Linked DNA regions of Mus musculus. The protein of the gene in region 1 purifies or fractionates together with the protein of each later gene. This does not show direct contact. Links are inferred from orthologs where the notes say so. Each region holds a gene or a part of one and is shown on either strand. Other genes may lie near its edges. The genes, in order: Gtse1 and Acad11.

What was found.
Region 2: the proteins of Gtse1 (region 1) and Acad11 purify together in Homo sapiens (co-immunoprecipitation; 3 studies listed by BioGRID and IntAct, counting the BioPlex papers as one, with this or other methods). This does not show direct contact. The link is inferred for Mus musculus from reciprocal best matches to the Homo sapiens genes GTSE1 and ACAD11.

The regions. Positions count from the first base shown.
Region 1 is NC_000081.6:85,855,323-85,866,278, forward strand, and holds the start of Gtse1 (G2 and S phase-expressed protein 1), read left to right. Parts: upstream 1-4,384; 5' UTR 4,385-4,472; intron 4,473-4,623; exon of another isoform or gene 4,624-4,681; 5' UTR 4,682-4,748; coding exon 4,749-4,773; intron 4,774-6,578; coding exon 6,579-6,636; intron 6,637-6,745; coding exon 6,746-7,373; intron 7,374-8,784; coding exon 8,785-8,940; intron 8,941-10,956. Other genes in the region: Ttc38 (tetratricopeptide repeat protein 38), read left to right, coding at 1,149-1,242. UniProt on the Homo sapiens protein: May be involved in p53-induced cell cycle arrest in G2/M phase by interfering with microtubule rearrangements that are required to enter mitosis. Overexpression delays G2/M phase progression.
Region 2 is NC_000075.6:104,072,830-104,083,332, forward strand, and holds part of Acad11 (acyl-CoA dehydrogenase family member 11), read left to right. Parts: intron 1-792; coding exon 793-892; intron 893-2,987; coding exon 2,988-3,113; intron 3,114-3,500; coding exon 3,501-3,662; intron 3,663-5,733; coding exon 5,734-5,898; intron 5,899-8,401; coding exon 8,402-8,543; intron 8,544-8,868; coding exon 8,869-8,990; intron 8,991-9,961; coding exon 9,962-10,068; intron 10,069-10,503. UniProt on the Homo sapiens protein: Acyl-CoA dehydrogenase, that exhibits maximal activity towards saturated C22-CoA.

The DNA.
Region 1 (10,956 bases):
GGGCCCGAGGGTTGAGCTGGGGAAGATTCTTGGGTGCAGCATGGCGGCCCATGCTGGAGCAGATACTTGGGTCCTAAGCTGCAGACAGGAGGTAGTGCAGGGGTGAGAGGTGGCACAGCTGCCTGGGAAGACACTGCAGGGATGGGGCATCCTTCCAAGTGTTTGCCTCTGTATGCAGCCCATGCCTTTCAGAGGCAAGAACCCGCTGCTGTGGTTTTAGGTGGTTTGAGTGTGGCCCGGGGTTCCATGGCTGCATGTGTGTTCCTAACTTTGGAAGTGTTGAGAAAAAGAGGGTGGAGAGAGGAGAGCTCCTCCTGGGCCCCACCCTCAGAAGATGTTAAAGTTCTCAGGGGGCCCCAGTTAGTGCTCTTCACAGAAGAACCGTTATAGAACAAAGCCACTCTGCTTAGTCTCTCGTGCATGGTCATTTGCTCCCCCCCCCCACCTCCGTTGTTCACACAGCCAGGCAGCCTAATATGAAGCCAGGTAAGGCCTCCATCTTGGACTTCCAGTCTCTGGAACCTAGCTAAATAAAACCTTCAATTTTGCAAAGTGCCCAGCCTCGCACAAATTGTTTTAGCAGCAGAAAGTGAACTGATACAGTCTATATTGGCTGGGGTGTGGTCCCCCGAGTCCTAAGCCCCAGCCCCTTAACAACACTTACTGCCCTCAGAGCCACCATCTGTGTCTCTCTTAATCTCCTTGGTGTGTGACCAAAACAAAGCAAACACAGGTGACATGTGGTTCAGACACAAGACTCATATGGGCTAATCAAGGAGGCCCCAGCATCCAGCCACAGTAGGGGCTTTACCTCCTGATGGGTCCTGGTCTTGCTTTAGTTAAGGCTCCCCACCCCAACTCTTTCATTTGCTTTTCCTGGACCAGTCTCACATGTGGCTTCCTGGTCCCTCTCATAATTAGCCTTAGATGGTGACAGAAGCATGAGCTATGAGGTCTTGAGCCATGGCTTTCCCTAAGACAGACAACGCCACCGTGATAGACCTACACTGGAGTCCTCAGCTCTAGTGTTTATCTCTCATGGAAAATCAGAGTACTGCCCAGATGGCTGGACCCATCTTGCCCCGGCCAGTCATATTCGCACGTCCTTCTAGAAGGTTCTATAACAAAAACTCTGTGTGTTTCCACAGGAGCCTTCTGATGGAGCGTGACGCCTTGAAACCCAACTCACCCCTGACGGAGCGGCTGATCCGAAGGGCGGCCGCTGTCCATCTTATGCAGTAGAAACCGCCAGGTCCTTAGCCTACAGCTCAACACTGACCTCCTGGCGTGAGGTTGACTGCCTGGTTGGGTTAGGGTACGGTTAGGAAACAGCTGGGTTTGTTTATCAGAGGTTAAAGTTCAGTCCTGAGCAGAATTCTCCAAATCAGTAGTTTGGTCAAAGTAGGGAACCCAAGTTAATTTTGAGTGATGTTCAGAATTCCTCTCAGGGCCAACATGCGTTTTTTAAGCCTCCAGAACCAAAGCAGTGGCTATCATTTTCAGGTGCCTTGAACATTGTATTTTCTTGTTCTGAAGTCGGCAGGCAGCGAAGAGATGTGGCCAGGTCAGCTGGGAGGTCTAGAAGTCTATGTGTGTGCACATGCGCACGCACTCGTACACACACACACTGCACTAGTGAATCCTTTCCATTTAGTTTTCCTTATATTCTGCACAGGTCCTGCTGTCCCATTTCCCTGGGGAGGATTCCAGAGAGCTGCCTGGGGTCCCAGTGAGCAGGGGCATTTCCTTTCTGGGGGGAGGGTATCCTGTCTCGTTGGCTTTGGTTGTCAGCCCCAGACAACTGCACCTGCCACCGTCCCCAGAGACGAGGGGAAGAATGCCTTCTGCCTCCCTGGGGGACTTGGTGGTGCCAACTGGAGCTTCTCTTTAGACTTCACTTGGGAGTAAATCTTGAGGGATGTGGCTTCCTTGGCTAGCTCCGATTCTGCTCCTGAGAGTGGGTGTGAGACCCTCAGCTGTCTTAGTCGGGGTTCTATTGCTGTGAAGAGACGCCATGACCAAGGCAACTCTTACAAAGGAAAACCTTTATTTGGGGCTGGCTGACAGTTTCAGAGGTTCCGTCCATTATCATCATGGTGGGAAGCGTGGCGGCATCCAGGCAGGCATGGTGCAGGAGGAGCTGAGAGTTCTGCATCTTGAGCTACAGGCATCCAAAAGGAGACCATCTTCTTGCAGCCAGCAGGAGGGTCCCTTCTGCACTGGGTGGAGCTAGGCCCTCAAAGTCTGCCCCCACAGTGACACTCTTCCTCCAACAAGTACACACCTCCTAATACTTGTCACTCCCTAGGAGGCAGAGGCAGGCGGATTTCTGAGTTCAAGGCCAGCCTGGTCTACAAAGTGAGTTCCAGGACAGTCAGGGCTATACAGAGAAATCCTGTCTCGAAAAAACCAAAAAAAAAAAAAAAAACCAAAAAACAAACAAACAAACAAACAAAAAAAAAAAACAAAAACCAACTTGTCGCTCCCTATGAGCCAAGTGTTGAGTCCATGGGGACCAAACCTATTCAAACCACTACACCAGCTTAGGGCTGCTCTGCTGTGGCAAATAACCAGATAAGTGACATAGCCATCACGAGGTTTAAGCCCATCTCCTGCTTCTGTGACAGGGACATCCCTCCTGGAAGTTGATGCAGTTCCTACTTAAGTAGGGACTGATGGGCAGGTGGGAGTGGGGAGTGGGTTGGAGGTCTCCAAACCAGATCTTTGCTTAGCCTGCTCAGAGTCCCTGCAGTCTGCTGAGGACTGGACAGGTTTTGGGCATTCATTAAAACAATTGGTCCCGTTGACTACCCTCTCCTATGGGAACCTCTGAGCAGCTCCCAAGTGCCAGGTTTGGGTTGCGTCCTAGGGAGATGGGCTTCTCTAATCTTAGCTGGATGAGGCAGCAAGTCAAGAAATTGTGTAATCGCCATAGGATTTGAAGAGGTACTGTCTCCATATCAGGGAGCCTGGGGACAGGTGCCAAGGGGGAACCTCCTCATTAGTCCTCATTATGTATATGATTCCAAATAATACATGATTCAGCCAGAAGCGGAGTCTTGCTCTCTGTCTCTTTCAGAAAGCCTTCCACCCTGCCTGTGGGCTGGTGACAGTGCCTTCTCTTTGCCCCATAGCCCTTGGCACTTGCCCTTGCTATTGAACCACTTTGTGCTGTGATCTCTGGTATTCAATGGCTTCCATTGAATGCCTTGTCTGTAAAAGCTGGTATGTGTAGGCTTTCATGAAAGAAGGCATGCATCTGCCAGGGACAGGCGACTGATCTTAAAGGGAAATGTGTATGCGTCTGGAGAGATGGCTCCATGGCTGAGCACTTGCCGTTCTTCCAGATGACCAGAGATCAGTACCTAGCGCCCACGTAGAGCCTGTAAATCTAGCCTCAAGGGACCTGACACTCTCTTCTGGCCTCTGTAGGCACTTGCATACCTGTACATACGCACACGTCGGCAAAAAAAATAAAATAAAAATATTTTTAAAGCCAAGAGAAAATGTAAATAGCAGTGAGTTACTATGGGTATGCTTTCCTGAACATCTACTATGACCTGATATGATACAAAGAGAAGTGTTGGTGAACTTTACTGCCCAGTGGATAGCCCCAGGGATGCAGGGATTTCATGCACAGGAGCTAAAGGCTTGGACCACAGATGTGACTGCCACCGTGGTCTTGCGCCCCCCCCTCCCGCCCCCGGTGTGAATCAGAAAAGCCTGGCCCTTAAAATTCCAGATACACAGAACCGGTCACCATCCCCAGCCGGTGGGAACCTTGGGTCCGACGAAGCCAGCTTGCCTACTAGTGAGCCAGACCTGGCCGATGTGTAGAGACGACATCCAGACTTGATGGCCTTCTTGATGGCTATCCAGGCCAACCCTGGACTTCCTTGAACCAACAGACCTTGAAGCCAGTTTCCTGCTCATTGCTATCCAAAGGCATCTAACATATTGGCAGCAAAGAAGTGCTAAGACCGGCTCTGTCACTCTTCTGCATTTGAGGGAAAAGGGAGGGCCTGCACACCAGAGTACAGGAGAGAGGCCTTAGGCTGCAGAGAGTACCCGGACGCATGAGAAATACTGGAGATACCAGGACAAGCACCGGAGAGAGTCGGGACAAATTCCTTCCTAGCTGCCTGACCATCTCCTATGCCCCACCATCACCGCCTCGGTCCCTTTTGCTAGCACAGCCACAGGCGGAACGCTTAAATCCTTTCTGTGTCTCCGGAGGAGGAGAGTCATGGGAACTTCCGGTGGGAGTTTCCTGCGCCCAGCGGAGCCAATCCGTGGCTTGGAGTCTTGGGCATTGGTCTTGTACATCAGCACTCTGACTACATTTCCCAGGCTGCACCGAGAGCGTCTCCTGTTTAAACAGGCCAATCGGCGGCCGGCGGAGCCGGGCGCCGCGTTTAAACCGGTGCCGGAGACCCAGCTGGATTTTATGCCTTCCCGGTCAGAGGCGAGGGGTAAGGAGTGGTCGTAGCGCTGGTCCCGGAGAGTGGGGAACCGGGTCCCGAGCCGCAGAGATCCGGGGAGGACGGGCTGCGGTGCCAGCTCTGCAGCTCAGAGCCGGAAATCCGTTACCCCGCCTCGGGGCGCACAGTCTGGGAAACCGGGAGCAAGTTGGGGCTTGCCTCTGACTTGCCTAATTCTCCCGTCCCCTTGCTTCCTGCAGCGAACTCTGTGGAAGGAGGAGACGGCCGCGACGTGCCTTCGGCCAACCAGTGGAGAGAGAGGTGAAGATGGATGCTGGTAGTAAAAAAGAAGGTAAGTCCTTTCTGTTCGTAAGGCTGTTCTGGAGTGTATTCCTTTTCACCCCAAACAAAATAGAGAGGGCTACAACAGATCAAAGAAACGAAGTCTGGATTGATAAGCAAATAAATTTAACTGAAGTTACTTACAAGGACATTAGCAATTCATAGCTCCACCACCAAAGAAGCCCCTACAACATCCCCACCCACTTTTTAAAACCACTTATGTAATCTTAAGAGGGGCCTCCCCCCACTTCCAGAAGGGCTTTAAGTGGGGGTCTTAATCTTGTGAGGGTCTCCTGTGGTTAATCACAGTTGCTGTGCTATCAAAATGGCAACAGCTTTCTCTTGCACTGAGCGCAGAGTCCCTCACTCCACCCATTCCCCTGTGGTTCATTCTTTTCTCCTCCACTGACTTACTTTGTTTGCTTTTCCTTTCTTGCTTGTTTTTTTGAGCCCTCACTTTGTAACCCGGAACTCACTCTGTAGTCCAGGCTGGCCTTGAATTCATCGAGAGCCACCTTCGGAAGCCTTCTGAGTGCTGGCAAATTCTTTGAAAAGCAAGACTTGCTACGTGGTGGCTGCACACGCCTTTAATGCCCCAACTGCAGAGGCAGGCAGATCTCTTGAGTTTTATTTCAAGGCTAGCCTAGCCTGGTCGACAGAGTGAGTTCCAGAACAGTTAGTTCTCTTTGTAAACCTACACAGTGAAACCCTGTCTAAAAGAGGGGAGGAGGAATCTTTACGATGACTTGGTTTGTGTGTGTGTGTGTGTGTGTGTGTGTGTGTATGTGTATGTGTGTGTTTGGGGGTGGTAACCAAGGTGTGCAAGCACCTGAGGGTCCCAGGGCTTGAACTCAGGTCATCAGATGTGGTGGGAAGTAACTTTGCTCCCCTGAGTCTTAGAGGGTTGATGTGGGTTTACAATTATTTTCTCCCTTTTAGGGCTGAGCACTGGGCCTTTGCACCCTATCAGGTTATGTATCCTCTTTGACACCTTAGGAGACTGCTTAACACAGTGATGCCCATTATAAGAAGCACCTCTAATGACCTAGGCTGGCAGCCCAGTCCAGTAATTTATGAGCATAAACATAAAGGTTTAGAATGCAACTTAACCAGGCTGTAACGTGCATCCTTAATGAAGCCTATGACCTTCCTCCACCTTAGGATTTTGTCCTGAATTATGTAGGTTCCCTCCGGTGAAGCAGACCTTTAAGTACTACTGGGAAGTGGCTGGTCTGTGAGAGAGAGCTGAATAAATCCACAGTTGGTTCAACCAAGGCTATGCTAGGAATGTGGATAGGCAGAGCAAAATTTTTGTTGGTGGTTTTGGTTTAGGTTTTGGGGTTTTTTTTGTTTTTGTTTTTTGTTTTGTTTTCTTTTTTGTTTTGTTTTTTTGGAAAGGGACCCGAGGAGCAGTGGTGCTCCACAGATACTCGTTGGTCTCTACTGTGAGTTTGAACCATCTTTGAACTCATCGCTGATAGATGTCTCATAATTGAATTCCAGGCTAGCTAAAGTAGTTGATCTTTAGAAAATAGCCTGTGCCTGAAGGTGACTTAGCCTTCTTGGAAACCCTAGATTCTATCATAGAGGTAAGGTTCTGTGTTTTGATGGTGGATCAGTGCACTCAGAGTGGCTCCTGGAACTTGAGAGTGGAAATGGGAAATAAGAAGGACTTGAGGTGCCCATGACAATTGATTGAATTCAGGCAACAATCTATTACTTTACTGAGAGATTCATAGCAACTGTGAAACCAGTGCTTTCCTGTTTTATGTTACCCTAAAATAACTGAACTTTTTCTCCCCATCCCCACCCCAGACTTTCTTCTTTTGGAAGATGAAAAATTTGACTTCGATCTTTCCTTGTCTTCTTCAAGGTAAACATGCGTTTTCTTCCCTAACCCCTGGTATAGACAGGTTCATCAAAGCCCCTCGCCTAGATGCTGGTGTGATTTCAGCCCTGATAATCTTTTTCTTTAAACGCAGCACAAATGAAGATGATGAAGTCTTTTTTGGGCCTGTTGGACATAAAGAAAGATGCATTGCTGCCAGTTTGGACTTAAACCGCCGGGTTCCTGGGCAGCCTCTTGCCCCGGGCTCTGGTAGCCCTTGCACCTTGAGCCCTCTCACTGGGGAGAAGTTTGTGGAGGTGTACAAAGAAGCCCACTTACTGGCCTTACAGATAGAAAGTCACAGCCGAAGAGAGGTGGCCCAGGCTGCCACGCCCCAAAATCCTGTGAACCAGGGCAAGGAAACGTTTGTGCAGGACTCACAGTTAAAAGTAAGCCTCTTTGAGAAAGAACAGAAGAGAGACAGAAGTCCCATGTCACTTAAAAGAGAGACATTCTGCCTGCCATCCTCGAGGGTGCAACCGCCCATGGGGGAGCCCCAGCTCCTGGCTTCTCCAGGCCTGCTCAGCTCCCCTGTCTCAGCAGGCCCTGCTCAGACCCAGAGCAACCAGGGTCTGCCCTGTTCCTCTCAGCCGTTGCCAAGAGAATCAAGTACCTCCCAGCCTCCAAGTCAGGCTGGGCCTCAAAAGAGGATCACCAGCAAGCTCCAGCCACCTCGGGCTTTGCCTGTGAGAGGAAGAAACCTTCACCTGGCTACAGAGAAGGTAAACCCAGGCATAGTACAGTTGCGATGTACACAGCCTCCTTGCCTCTCTTCAGCCCATGCCCTGCCAGGGAAGCCTCTCGGGAGGGGCAGCGCTCTGAGCACTGGAAAGCCCAGAATAGAACCAGAATCTGGACAGCGAAGGCAGCAGTGATGGGGAGCTGCCCGGCCGGGCCCCTCTGGGGAGCACTGCCCCTCACATTGGGCTCTGGCTGTTCTCTATGGCTGGGACTTTATACTTCTTCTGCCCGGGTATTACATGAATGTCAGGGAAATGGCAGTTGACCAGTTGTGGGAAACTCAGGGCCCTGGAGGCCTAGTTGGGGGTAGGTAGAAAGGCAGATGTCAGAGATAACTTACTTCCAGGTTTGCAGAGGAGGGGGACGGAGGTCTCCCGAGAGGAAACACAGAGTAAAGGCTCGCTAGAGTGTAGGGCCAAGCAGCCCCATAGCAGCCTCATTTGTACTGAGGGTACAGTTAAAGGAATGACGGTGAGGTGGTGGGAAGGTGAAGCCCTGCACGGCCCCTCTCCCCATCTGTGAGCCCTCTCCTGACCACATCTGACACCAAGACACCCTGGGTGGGATTGCTAGCAGCACGTGGATATGGAACAGAATTTGTGTGTGATCCATGCATGGCTGTGGGTCACAGCACATGCAGGATACCAGGCAGGATTGTAGTGTCATCAACCAGCTTAACACGAGGTTTTCACAACCGCAGAATTGCCAACAAATGGAGCCAGCCCAGATGCCCATTAACCGATGAACAGATAGCTAAAACGACACATCCGATAGTGGCATAGGTTTTTTTAGTAAAAGAATGACAGTATCACTGAGTCTGTCCCAGGGGGGAGCTTCGGGTCACAGGAAGCGCTACAAGGGGAGCATTGCTGTTGGCCTCACACTGAAGCGACTGCTTGCACCGCCTTCCTTCTCGACATCCTTGCTGCGTGTGCACGAGGAGAAGGTCCTGATGCCCTTGCATCACTATGTCAGGGCTTTGCTCTGGGCTTGCAGGCCAGAGAGTATAGGCTTGTTTGTTTGTTTTCGAGACAGGGTTCCACTATGTAACTGCCATGGGACTCACTGTGTAGACCAGGCTGGCTTTGTGGAACCTACAGAAGTCTGCCTGCCTTAGCCTCCAGGTGCTGGAATTAGAGGCATGTACCATATGTCTGGACCCCTCGATGGCACTCTTAAGTCAGGGCCTGACAAAGGAGGAGCCTTGGAGATCCTTCTGCAGGCCGCCTGCCCTAGTCTTGACACTGCTTCAGTGAGGAGGTCCAGTCTCATCTCAGTGCTCCTTCTCTCACACTAGTGGATGGGTTGAGAGGGGCAGCATCCAGGATGAGCGGTGCCAGCTCTGGAATTGTCAGACCAGGTAGTCTTCACCTCTCAAATCGACATTTTCAGCTCAAAAAAGAGGTGCCAGCCAGCATTCAGAGGACGAAACTCGTGAATGAAAAGGGATCCCAGAGTGACGTGCTCCAGGACAAACCCAGCACAGCTCCAGATGCTGCCAGTCGAGAAGGCCACCCAGGCAAGCGGTCACTCCCCATTCCTGGCAAGGTGAGTTGGCTGGCACTACAGGGCTGCCACTTGTTCTATAGGAACGTGTTGCCAGTTTAGTATCTTGATTACAATTAGGTCTTCAAGGTTTTGTTTTGTTTTTATTTAATAAATGCATGGACATAAGTTAAACCCTAGGACTCACATTTTAAAAGCCTTGTGTGGTGGGGTACCAGGAATCCCAGCACTGGGGAGGCAGAGGACACTTGGATCCCTGGGGTTAGCTTGTTGGTTAGCCAGCTTAGCCAACTTGGTGAGTGCCAGGCCAGCCAGAGACCCTGTCTTTAAAACTACACAGTAGCTGGCCATGGTGGTGGTGTATGCCTTTAGTCCTAGCACTTGGAGGCAGAGGCAGGTGGGTCTCTACCTGGTCTGCATAGTGGGTTCTAGGCCAACCGGGACTACACAGTGAGACCCTGTATCCAAAGTAAATGTAAGAATGGGAAGTCATCTGCAATTGTCCCCTAATCTTCGTGTGTGTGTGTTAGACTGCGGAGAGGACAGGCCTGGCCATGTGCAGTGAACTGGCCTTGTCACTTGGGCTGTTGTTCCCAGCAGCTGATTCTCACTGATCCCTCCGCCTCTATGGGAACTTGAGGTATTGGGTTTTGTGTTCTGTGTTCAGAGCTCACAGACATAGAGACTGTCACCTTTCTGGTACTCTGAGCTGCCTATTAGAAAGCATGTATTAAAGCTGCTACTGAGCCTATAGGAGCTGATTTGAGGTCTGAGTTGGAAGTCTGCAATCTTAATTGCTGCTAGTTCTCTGCACATTCCTCTAGCAGAGGTTTACACATTACGTTCTAGACGCAGTCGGGCCTCCAGATTGAAGCTATTTAAAAGAGAAGTTGCCTCTGTCCTGAACCTGTATAGCTTCTCCCCATCAGTGTGCCTGAATGAGTGTGATGGCTTGCACAGTGGAGGGTTATTGGGGTCCTGTGTCCACTCCACCACAGGCTTGGGGAGCCAAGACACAGGGAGTTTGACTACACTTACCCCGCTTACCCCACGCTGTCACCGGCCAAGTGTTGGGCTGCAGGGAAGCCTCAGGGACAGCACTCCAGGGGTGGGGAAGCTCCGGGGGTAGGGAAACACAGCCTGAAGCACAGGACAGTCAGAACTGGCTCAGGGGTCCCAGGCCTGCAAGGAGGCTGGCACCGTCTGGCTCTCAGGCTCTTGGGCACCCAGGTACCACTGGGAGTCTCGGAAGAACTGAGAACAGAGTGGGGGCCCTCGGGCTGGATCTAGCCCAGGGCCGAGGGGGGTAAGGGGAGAAGCTATGGCTAGATCCCACGGGAATGAGTCCTAGGCTTGACAGTGGGCGGCTGGCTTGGCTTGGTGGTCATGGCTGGGGACCCAGAGAGGCCCCTCTGTGGGAGATTAGATGGTGACTCTTTAGGCGAAAGCCTTCTCTATTGCTCCCCACAGCGGATCCCAATGAAAAGAGGCAGTCCATAGTTTTAAGACATTTTTTTGTCATGGTGGAAAGTGGATGGGTAAAACGGTACCCCATTGTTGGGGCCGGCCTGCGGCCCTCATGTCCAGGTTCGAGCCTGGAAGGCATCTTGTAACTGGAAGAGAAAGGGAATCTATGTGGGTAGAGAAATAATGGAACCAAGACAAGCTAATCTGCTCAAGGTTCCAATTTTTAATGGCGGACACGCTTTATAAAGGAGAGGGGAAAGCCCATTCCCGCCAAATCATCCTTGGAGCCCAGCTGCAGGTGACCACGTGTAGGATCGGATGTAGACTCCGGAACTGCGGCAGTGGCAGAACAATAGAGTGATCCAGGGAGGCAGGCTCCACCCTAGGTGATCTCCTTAGTGGTAAGCAAAGTCAAGGTCTAGTTCAGCCTGCTTCAGGCTTGTGGGAGGCTACACCCCATGTCTCAGGGTGGGCCTGAGGTTAAAGACCTTTTTCAGGGAGGAGTGTCTGGGAAGAAGAGTTTATTGGCTAAGCCTCCAGGCCTTTAAGGTACCTCATTAAAATGGAGATCTGTCTTGACCATAGGTCCTC
Region 2 (10,503 bases), on another chromosome or scaffold:
ACTGGAGAGATGGCTCAGTGGTTAGGAGCACTGACTACACTTCCAGAGATCCTGAGTTCCATTCCCAGCAACTACATGGTGGCTCACAACCATCTGTAATGGGATCCAATGCCCTCTTCTGACATACAGATGTACATGTAGATAGAGCCATATATATATATATATATATATATATATATATATATATATATAATGTAAAATCTTTGAAAGGAAGGAAGAAAGGGAGAATAGGAAAGGGAGGAAAAGGAAAGGAAATAAGAGAAAAGAGAAGTGAAGAGGATCTAAATAAAATGGTGGTTTAGCAATCCAGCCACAGCAGCCCAGTGTTAAGAAGTTGAAGCGTTGCAAGGAGGATACAAGGGAGTTTGAAAAGGAGTGGCCAGAGGTTTGTGCCAGCGGTCTTGAAAGGGCATTAGTGGAAAAACGGGAATGAAAGCCTCCTGGATGGACTGAGATGGGTTTACGACAGGCTATGAGGAAGAGACTTGCAGAAAAGGCTTCAGGAATAACTAGACGTTTATATGCAGCTAGAAGTGCTTAAGAACTTATGCAAGAGAAGACTGTAGAACAAAGAACCCAAGGAAACCAGAATGATCGGAAATCCAATCCACAGGAGATGGGATTGTCTGAGCTGCGAGTGGCAGCCTGCCCAAGCTACTGACCGGTCCCTGTGGTCAGCCCAGTGTTGAGATGTTTATTTTGGATTCCTGTGTTTTCTGAGATTTCAGTAGGATTTCAGGAAAGAGACATGTTTATAATTGACCTGTGAACTCTTTTTTTTTCCCCCCCTAGATCAGGACAGTCAAACCCAACCTTCTTTCTCCAGAAAGGATCTCAAGCCTATGTTCTCAGGAAGAAACCACCCGGCTCTCTTCTTCCCAAAGCACATAAGGTATGACACAGAAGTGCAGCAGCGAGCCTTTTTTCCACCACAGGTAACCGCCTCGGAAAAGCACAAGAGCAATCGAATCTGCATTTGAAGACCTCCTCACGCAGTTACTGACTAATGCAAGCACACTTCACTTTTAATTACAAATTCACTTGGATTGCGTGTCCTTTTTTTTAAAAAAAAAAAAAAAAAAAAAAAAAAAGGATCTGCAGTTGAAGACCAAAGATGTGTTTAAACTCCCATCCCAGTGAGCTTCCTTGTTCCCTGCGGATATGTTCGCTGTTACTCATTTCTAGCTGCCTTTTTCTTTTTTCTTTCTTTTTTTTTTTTTTTTTTTTTTTTTTTTTGTCTCTGCATGCCAAGAGCATTGTCTATAATGATGGTCTTTACTTGATGAGTTTAATGTATTTACCTTGGGCATCTTATAATCATTCAGGGGTTAAAAAAAGAGAAAGACCTGAGTGTCATTGTACAGTAGGCTTTAAGGTTTAGAATCATCAGGGAAAATTAAAGAAGATGTCTGTTACAGATTAAATTTTCTAATTATTCTGAGTTGTTCACTACCTAATAAATACGTCAACCAAGTTATTGTGCTATACCTCATAAATACATACAAACATGATTTGCCAGTCAATTTTTTAAACTAAATTTTCCTGGTTGCAAAAACAGGAATTATCTCAAGATAGCAGGAAGGGACATAAATGCAAGTCCTGCAAAATGTACTAAGTACTCTGCATACGTGGGTGATACTGGCATCATGTGCTTCGTAGTCCTTCACCAGGAAAGACCACTGTGGGCGGGTTCGATATCATAGTGACAGGGGACACAGATGCTCATTTTCTTGGCTCCATCATACTCCTGACAACATGAAGTAACTTAGATGCTTACAAAAAAGGAGTTGGGTAACTTTTGTTAATGTCAACATGGCATGGCTGAAAGCAAACCCCACCCCCACCCTGCCTAGAAATGTCTACCTCAGAAGCAGTCCTCTTTGAGTCTCCTCCTGACTATGTCCCACTTGAACACCGCAGAAAGCTCTCAGCCTAAGTCCAGCTCCATAGATGTGGAGCACCTTGTCTGAACTTCCTCGGCTTTCCCCAAGGCTGTGTTTTAAAAAGCAGTGTCCCTGCTTTGCTGTTGTCCCTAACCCTTTTGCCCCTCCCTCCCCTGACACACACACACACACACACACACACACACACACACACACTCACACACTCCCTGCCATCCGCTCTCAGTTCCTGCCACATCTCTTTCAATAGCCCTCAGTGCTATGGACAGTTCCCACTTTGGGTTAATTACTTCCCTGGTCCATGACTGCATTACTCTTTGAACTCAAGCTGAGCAACATGTTTCCCCTTCCCTGGAACTGGTCAGTCACTTCTGCCCCAGTGTGGCAGGCACTTTCTACATGCACAAATCATCCTTGTTCACCCATATTACATCTCTGCTGTAAGCCACAGCCTTGGGACCTTTCTGGGTCTGCAGGTGTCCCACCCAAGGATATAAGGTTTCCTCTTCTCTTTCCTGAGCCCCAGCTTTAAGATCAACTTCTGGGCACCTGGTTCCCTTCAGTTATCTGGGTTCCCAGAACAGACCATGTACCTATAAGGGTCTTCATGCTCCTTCCTTGGAAGTTTGCTGCTCTCTTGATGATCAGAAGGAATAGGTGATTTCCCCTTCCCACAACCACTGCCTGCCTTCTCCAGCTCCTGTATCTGACTAGAGGAACTCAATCCTAAGCCTCCTGAGAACTACGAAGGGAGAGGTGAAGCCAACAAGCAGGGAACTTGTGAGAACACAGAAATGCCCTTTAACAAAAACCTGTGAAATATAGCCAGGCGGTTGCCTTTGTGCTACAAGAGCCAGTAGTAAGCCTCATGCAAATGCCTATCTTTTTACCCCAGTTAAATAAATGATCATGCTTTAGAGATGGCCTACTTTGTAATTGTAATGGCTGAACAAGCTCCTGTTAAGGGAATATTACTGTCAGCTCTGGGTTACATATTGACACATGTTGTAGCCAATAGCCTCAGTTAAGGTTAGCCCACATGTAGTTATTAAATTTCTGTTTCTGGATTTTAATAATCCTATTTAGATTGACAGAGAATTCAAGATCCAGAAAGCCTTGTTTTCCATTGGATTTCCTGTTGCCAAGCCCCTGCTATACTGCAGAGATGCTTCAGTTATCGGAACGGAATTTTATGTAATGGAACATGTGCAGGTAAGTTAACAATCTTACTTGGTTGGTGCTTTTATATTGCTAACTTGTTCTTAAATACCCCTCTAGGTGGCAGTAAAGAGCTACCAACAATTGTAGCCAAACAGGGAGATGGGGATGTGTGTGTGTTCTTATTGGGGGGAGGCACCCTTCCACATAGAAAGAACAAACCATTAAGAGCAAATTCAAATTGTTTTTAATTTGAAGATGTGGGTTACAAGCAGTTTAAAACCTTCAGGTTTAAACTGCTTCTAGCATGTCCTTGAATTTTGCCTTTGGTATGTATCCACATACACATTTCACAGACAAGCCTACGCCTAACATGCTCTGTAGTTTGCTGAGTTTGTCTGTCAGCTATTTAAAAACTGGCCATTGTGATCACTTTGATAGGGTCGGATCTTTCGTGATTTTTCCATTCCTGGAGTTAGCTCAGCAGAACGTGCTGCTATATATGTGTCTGTGGCAGAAACCCTGGCATGGCTACATTCTCTGGATATACGCTCGCTGAAGCTGGACAAATACGGTACTGGAGTCGGGTACTGCAAAAGGCAGGTAAGCCATCTGCGTCAGAATGTACTGCATGGTCTCAGAAGTAACGTACTATGAATGACTAGTGAAAGCAAGCCCTGTTTGTTATGTGGCTGTCTGAAATTTTGCCACTTAACATCTTCTTTGGTAATGTATTCAGATATCTTTTTAGCATGAAATAATGCTGGTGTGTGTGTGTGTGTGTGTGTGTGTATTTTGAGTGGATGAACCTGTATCTGCAGGTACACAAGTATGGCACATGGGTGTGGAATGAAGGCCAGGGATTCGCCTCAGCTTTCATATTCAGGAGCCATCCACCTCATTTTTTAGGTGAGGCACCTCATTGGCCTGAAGCGTTCTGATTAGGCAGTCTGACTGGCCAGTGAGCTTGAGGGCTCTTCCTGTCTCTACTCCTCACTATTAGAACTCCAGGCATATACCACCATGCCTAGCTGGCTTTCTTTGTCTTCTTTTCTTCCATCCTTCCTTATTTTCTCTTTGTCTGGGTTCTGGGGACCATGCTTAGGTCCCCATGCTTGCCCAGCAAGCCCTTTACTGACTGAGCCATCTCCTCTCCCACTAACTTTATTTTTTAGATAACTTTTGTTTAGTAAAGGCTTCCATTTCTGCTTTTCACTTGGTTTACCAGTAGATTTTCTTCTCAGTTTTCCCTTTCTAGGTTGTGCTAAGCAAAAATCTATTAAGCTTTTATCAATTTAATGCTTGCAAGATACTTTTTTAAATATCAAGAAATAAGAAATAGGTTCCTGCCCTAAAGAAGCTTGTGGCTGTTTTTAAGATGCTCATTCACGAGTCTCATATACATGAAGCTGGGGAATGGTCTATTTCCCTGAGTTTACTACCTATTAGTAAATTGTTCAGTGCTCATTGCAAGAGCTGTATGTCTAGGGCACAGGCATACATGCCTGTGCTTGGATGTGGAAAGGAACTGATATAGAGAATTAATAATGAGATGGTGACCCTTGCAACCAAATGCAGGTAAGACTAGGCACTCATGGGCTGTATTCTATTATAAGTACGCCCTTTGAGAGTGGGGTGGGAAGATATGAGAGAGTAGAGTATTCGATGTGTGCTATTGAGTGCTAAGTGAGCTGTAGACTACCTCATTTAAAAATCTCTGCAGAACTCACAAGACGGGTATTAACCTCATTTTGCAGATGAGGAATATGAAGGTTATACTGACCCGGTAATACACAAGTAAGTTCCTAGACAGTATATAAATCCCAGCCAGTGAGACCCGTGTAGGGGGATTTTGTTTGCTTCTAATTCTAAGAGCAATATAAAGTCTGCTTTACTCTTAATGGTATCTTTAAAATACTCTGTGGGTGAGGGAAAGGATGTTAAGTGAGAAAAGCTCTTTCTAGCTTTCATTGCCCCCTTTTCAGGGAGAAATTGTCTGCTTGTGGTGTGTGTACATGTGTGTGTGTGTGTGTGTGAGAGAGAGAGAGAGAGAGAGAGAGAGAGAGAGAGAGCCCAATGAGAGAGAGGGGTGAGAAACTACATGTGGTGTGTATACGTGTGTATGAGGGGTTGTTTGTATGCATTTCTGTCTTCCATGGAGTACTTACTGAGTGAAGACCATTCTTTTTGTTTGGTTGGTTGGGGTTTTTTTTTTGGTGGAGGGGGGGTTGTTTGGTTTTTTTTTGTTTTGTTTTGTTTTTGTCTTTTTGTTTTTTTGAGACAGGGTTTCTCTGTATAGCCCTGGCTGTCCTGGAACTCACTCTGTAGACCAGGCTGGCCTCGAATTCAGAAATCCGCCTGCCTCTGCCTCCCGAGTGCTGGGATTAAAGGTGTGCGCCACCACGCCCGGCTGAGTGAGGACCATTCTTGACACCTATGCCAGTGTTTTTACTTCTTGTCCAATAGAAACCTACGTAGGTAAAATGGCACAACCTGGAAGAGAAACCTGCATGTTTGGGGCTTTCGGCTGATAGGAGTGTTTCAGGCTGCTGGGAGGTGCATGTGAGCACTGTTTTGTTAAGCATTCTGGAGTAAGGTGGACTTGGGCACAGATGAAGTGGTCTTAGAGTCACGGACAACGGAACGTTCTGTCTGTACCGCTGTCCCTTCCCAGGTGTCCACCTGGACGAAGCAGTACCAGGCCTCAGCCCATCAGAGCATCCCTGCCATGGACCAGCTCTCCACGTGGCTGATGAAGAACTTGCCAGATAGTGACAGTGAGGAGTGCCTGGTCCACGGAGACTTCAAGCTGGACAACATAGTTTTCCACCCCAAAGAGGTACCGCAAGCTGTGTGTGTGTGTGTGTGTGTGTGTGTCTGTGTGTGTGTGTGTGTGTGAGAGAGAGAGAGAGAGAGAGAGAGAGAGAGAGAGAGACAGACAGACAGACAGACAGACACTGTCTAGGTCTGACCTGAGGCTCCAGAAGCAGACAGATGTCCCCCACCTGCCCCAGTGTCCTGAAGGAGCCCAGATCATTCTGTTCTTCCCCACAGCTCAGTCTGTCTCCCACTTAAAGCTTCTGGAGATGAGTCCTACAGAGTTTATGGCACCGGACTCTGCCTTTGGGCCTGGTCCCAATCTTAAACAGTAACATAGTCATCACTTAAGCAGGACTTGGAGGTTGCTGTGTGTCTCTCTTGTTGAAGAAGACTTCAATCTACTACTTTAAATGTCAGCTTCAGGCTGCAGAGATGGTTCAGGGGGTAAGAGCACTGACTGTTCTTCCAGAAGTCCTGAGTTCAGTTCCCAGAAACCACATGGTGGCTCACAACCACCTGTAATGCCGTCTTCTGGTGTGCATAAGAGAATGACAGTGTACCCATGTACATAAAATAAATAAATGAACCTTTAAAAAAAGAGCCAGCTTCATGGAATAACATGGCTGGCAGAATTCATGTCAACAAGCATTCAGTTGTGAGCAACTCTGTGCCCAGAAACATTTCTCCTAACAAGCATAAACCACAGATGGAGAGAAAAGATAACTGACAAACAGCAAGAGAGCAATTGTTATGTGCCAGCATAACACCCAAACAACCTGTACAGCTAGGCATAGAAGGAATGGCCCTGACTGGACTAACGTGAACAGGGTGGAGAGATGATGGCTCAGCAGTTAACAGCACTGGCTGCTCTCCAGCACCCGAGAATCCAGTGCCCCCTTCTGGCTTCTTCAGGCAGTGCATGTGTGTGATCCGCTTATATGCAGGCAAAGCACACATACACATAAGTGAAATTACATTTAAAATTACAGGAAAGTAATATAGAGAGGCTGGGAGCCTCTCCTCTGCACCCTTGACATAGGTCTAAACTGACCGGGCCGGTACATGGCAGATGCCCACCGTGCTCCAGTCTCCCTCCTTGCCTTTCCCGTCTGCTTCCTTCCTCTGCTTGCATCTCACCTTCTGTGAGTGCCTGCCTAGCCCTGCCTCTGGCAGCCCTTTCTACCTCCTTTGAGTTTTTACAGATTTGACTTCCCCTTCTTCGGGCTCCATGATTCCTGCATGACTGTGTGACTTTTTACCCTGCAGGTACAATGACCATAATCTGTTATTTCAAGAACTGTCTCCTTTAGTATTTATTTAATTAAAATCTTTAGATTGGCGGCATGTGTGTGAGTGAGAACGTTTCCTGAGTATAGGACATTTAATTTTTAAACCTTGAACTTAGGTTTTCAATTTTTGCAGCATACTATCATGTGAGTATAACTTCATATCTTAATCAAGTAAGACCTTTCTCCCAGTGCCTGTGGGCTGAACCTGAGCCTGGCAAGCACTTGACCAGTGACCCGTGTTTCCCAGCCCTTTCCTTACCTGTGACTCAGAGTCTGCAGTAGCCCACAACTCTACAGTACTATGTCTGAGTTTTCCAAAGAATCAAGGAAGTGAAAAACAAAGGTGCATGGAGGCTTGGAGTACCCTGACTCACAGTGTGAGTGTGAGTGTGTGTGTGTGTGTCTGTGTCTGTGTGTGTGTGTGTGTGTGTGTATATGTGTGTGTGAGTGTTTGTGTGTGTGTGTCTGTGTGTGTGTGTGTGAGTGTTTGTGCGTGCATGTGTGTGTGTCTCTCTCTGTGTGTCTATGTGTCTGTGTGTGTGTATGCATGTGTGTGTCTCTGTGTGTGTCTGTGTGCGTGCGCATGCATTCATGCATGTGTCTGTGTGTGTATGTGTGTGTCTGTGTCTCTGTGTGTCTCTCTGTGTGTGAATGTTTGTGCATGCATGTGTGAATGTTTGTGCATGCATGTGTGTCTGTGTGTGTGTGAATATGTGTGTGTGTGAATATGTGTGTGAGTGTGTGTGTGTAGGTCAGAAGACAACGTGAAGAGATTAGCTCTCTCCCGGTTATTTTATATAGCTTACTTTAAAGAATTATTGCTATAATGGTACAATATATATACATATGTATATCTATGTAGTTATTTTCATCACCAGTGCAAATACTTTCTTCCATATTAATTCTTAAAATATAAATATAATTAATCATTAGAACTTTTCTTTACCACAGTTCCTCCAGACTGAGAAGTCAGAGCTGGGTTTGCATCTGTTTGTTAGCAGAGATGTCAGGGCAGAGTGCAGGAGGATTGGCAGCCAGCAGTAGCACCAGAGGCCTTGGCTCTAGACAGTTGATGCCAGTTGGTTTCTATAAATGAGATGCACCGCCATGGGCAAAGACTACAAACTGAGGTCTGGTTGCATTTTGATGGAAATGTGGGTGAATGTACTGTGCCGTCTGCTTGCTTATTCAGTTTGTTTTGAATCCAATGTGTCTGTGTACATCTTGTTGCAGTGTCGGGTTATAGCAGTGTTGGACTGGGAGCTCTCGACCTTCGGCCATCCCTTGACGGACTTAGCCCATCTTTCCTTGTTTTACTATTGGCCCAGGACACTGCCCATGATAAACCGAGGCTCTCACATTCCAGAGAACACAGGTACAGAAGAGCAGTCATATGTAATCCTCTTTATTATTGCCAGAGCTAAAGACATAATTTGCCTGCAGTTTTATGAAGCTTTTGTTCCTTAAAAATGTTTCTAATTCATCTTACTGGTTTTCTGAACTTAGCATCTCACTTTTTATAATCTGTGACAATACACAATATTTTGCATATACTATTACTTGGGGAATCAATATTTAGAACAGGCTCAATACTGACTGCATTTGCACTGCATGCCACATTGTTTCTTCTTGCTGTATTGTGTCATTCTGAAGTGTTCTCTGTGGCATTCTTATTAAGGTGCTGTGTGCTGTTTTTCTAGGAATACCGTTGATGGAAGAACTGATTTCAATATACTGCCACCGAAGGGGAATTGATCCTAATCTCCCTAACTGGAATTTCTTTATGGCCCTCTCATTTTTTAAATTGGCTGGAATATCACAGGTAATTATCTGAAGCAAGTTTCACCATTTCTTTCTGATGTACTGTGAGCTCTGGCTTCCGGTTCAGGCTACTGTGTAGGCCATTGTGTTCTCCAAAGGTCACGTCAGATATGAGTAATGTGTAAATTTACAACAACAACAAAAAACTTCAGTGGGGAGAAAATTTGAGTATCACATGAGTTATGACTCTTGTACAGAGAAGGTCAGTGAGAGAAGATGTGATGGTGGCAGGAGAGTCGGGAGAAGCGCGTGGTGGGAAAGACCACGGTGCGCCTGCAGGAAAAGCAAGCCAAAATCCTCTGTTGAAGACTGAAAAGTCTTCTCCCTTTGTTTAGTCTCGGGGCCACCCAGGGAATGGTGACACCTGGTTCATCCAGGGCGGGTCTTCCCAACACAGATAGATCTTTCTAGAAATGTACACATGACCACACCCAGAAGCCTGATTCCACGATGATTCCAAAGCCAATCAAACTGGGTGTGTTAGGTTGGGAGCACGGAAGTGGGGAGTTGTGAAAGAGCTGCTGGCCATTCAGGTCACACTGCTCAAAGGACAGGTTTACTCAAACTAGGAATCAAACATGATATTGAATAGGAAAAGTCATCTCATGGCCTTCCCCTTGGTGTTGGTGTCTGAGTCCATTTTGATCGCTGTGAAGAGAAACAGTTATCAGTACAGATGCTGTGACCTGCAGGTGGCCTTGTTTGGGGCAGTGGCTCATTTTCAAGTTTGGTTTGAGTCATTGGTTATACTTCTGCCTGGATGAGAGTGTCACAACTATGTGATATGAGTGTGACTCTAACTCAGAGCCATACAGTGTCCTCTGCAAGTATGTTCCTGGTCTCCATGGTCTGACTGACGTCTGGAGTCCGTGAATTTAGTTCCCCATATGGATCACACACTGGAAAGACTAATTGGGTAGCCGGGGATCGTTTTCAATGAACTTTAATTGTCCCATGTTAATTTACTTGTAGGGAGTCTATCGTAGATACCTCATGGGAAATAACTCATCTGAGGATAGCTTCTTAACTGCCAATACTGTGCAACCTCTGGCAGAAACTGGATTGCAGCTGTCAAAAAGGTAAGGGAAGCATATTCTCTGGGTAATTCAACTGGCTTGGTCTCCTAAGACCGCAGAGTCAGGAGACAGTCTGGGTTCGTCCAGTTAAATAGTCACTGGATGTGAGAAGGTTAAAATGTTAAGAAAATGGAAATGATATCTCTGCCCAGACTAGGGCTGCTTTGCCAGTCAGGATAGTTTTCTAGTAAGTCACTATATACCTAAAAAGATATTGACTTAAAAATGAAAAAAAAATTGCCCATATTTATGATTAAGTGTATTCTTTGCCACTTTGAATGTATAACCTTTTAAATACATAGGTGAATATAGTTTCTTATATTTGTTACACATACCTATTTAAATGATATTATTATATTTATTAACTTAGCAATACTACTTTTTCTTCAACATTTTGCAAGTGTCTTTGAAACTATGTGTGTATCCGGGCAGCATTTC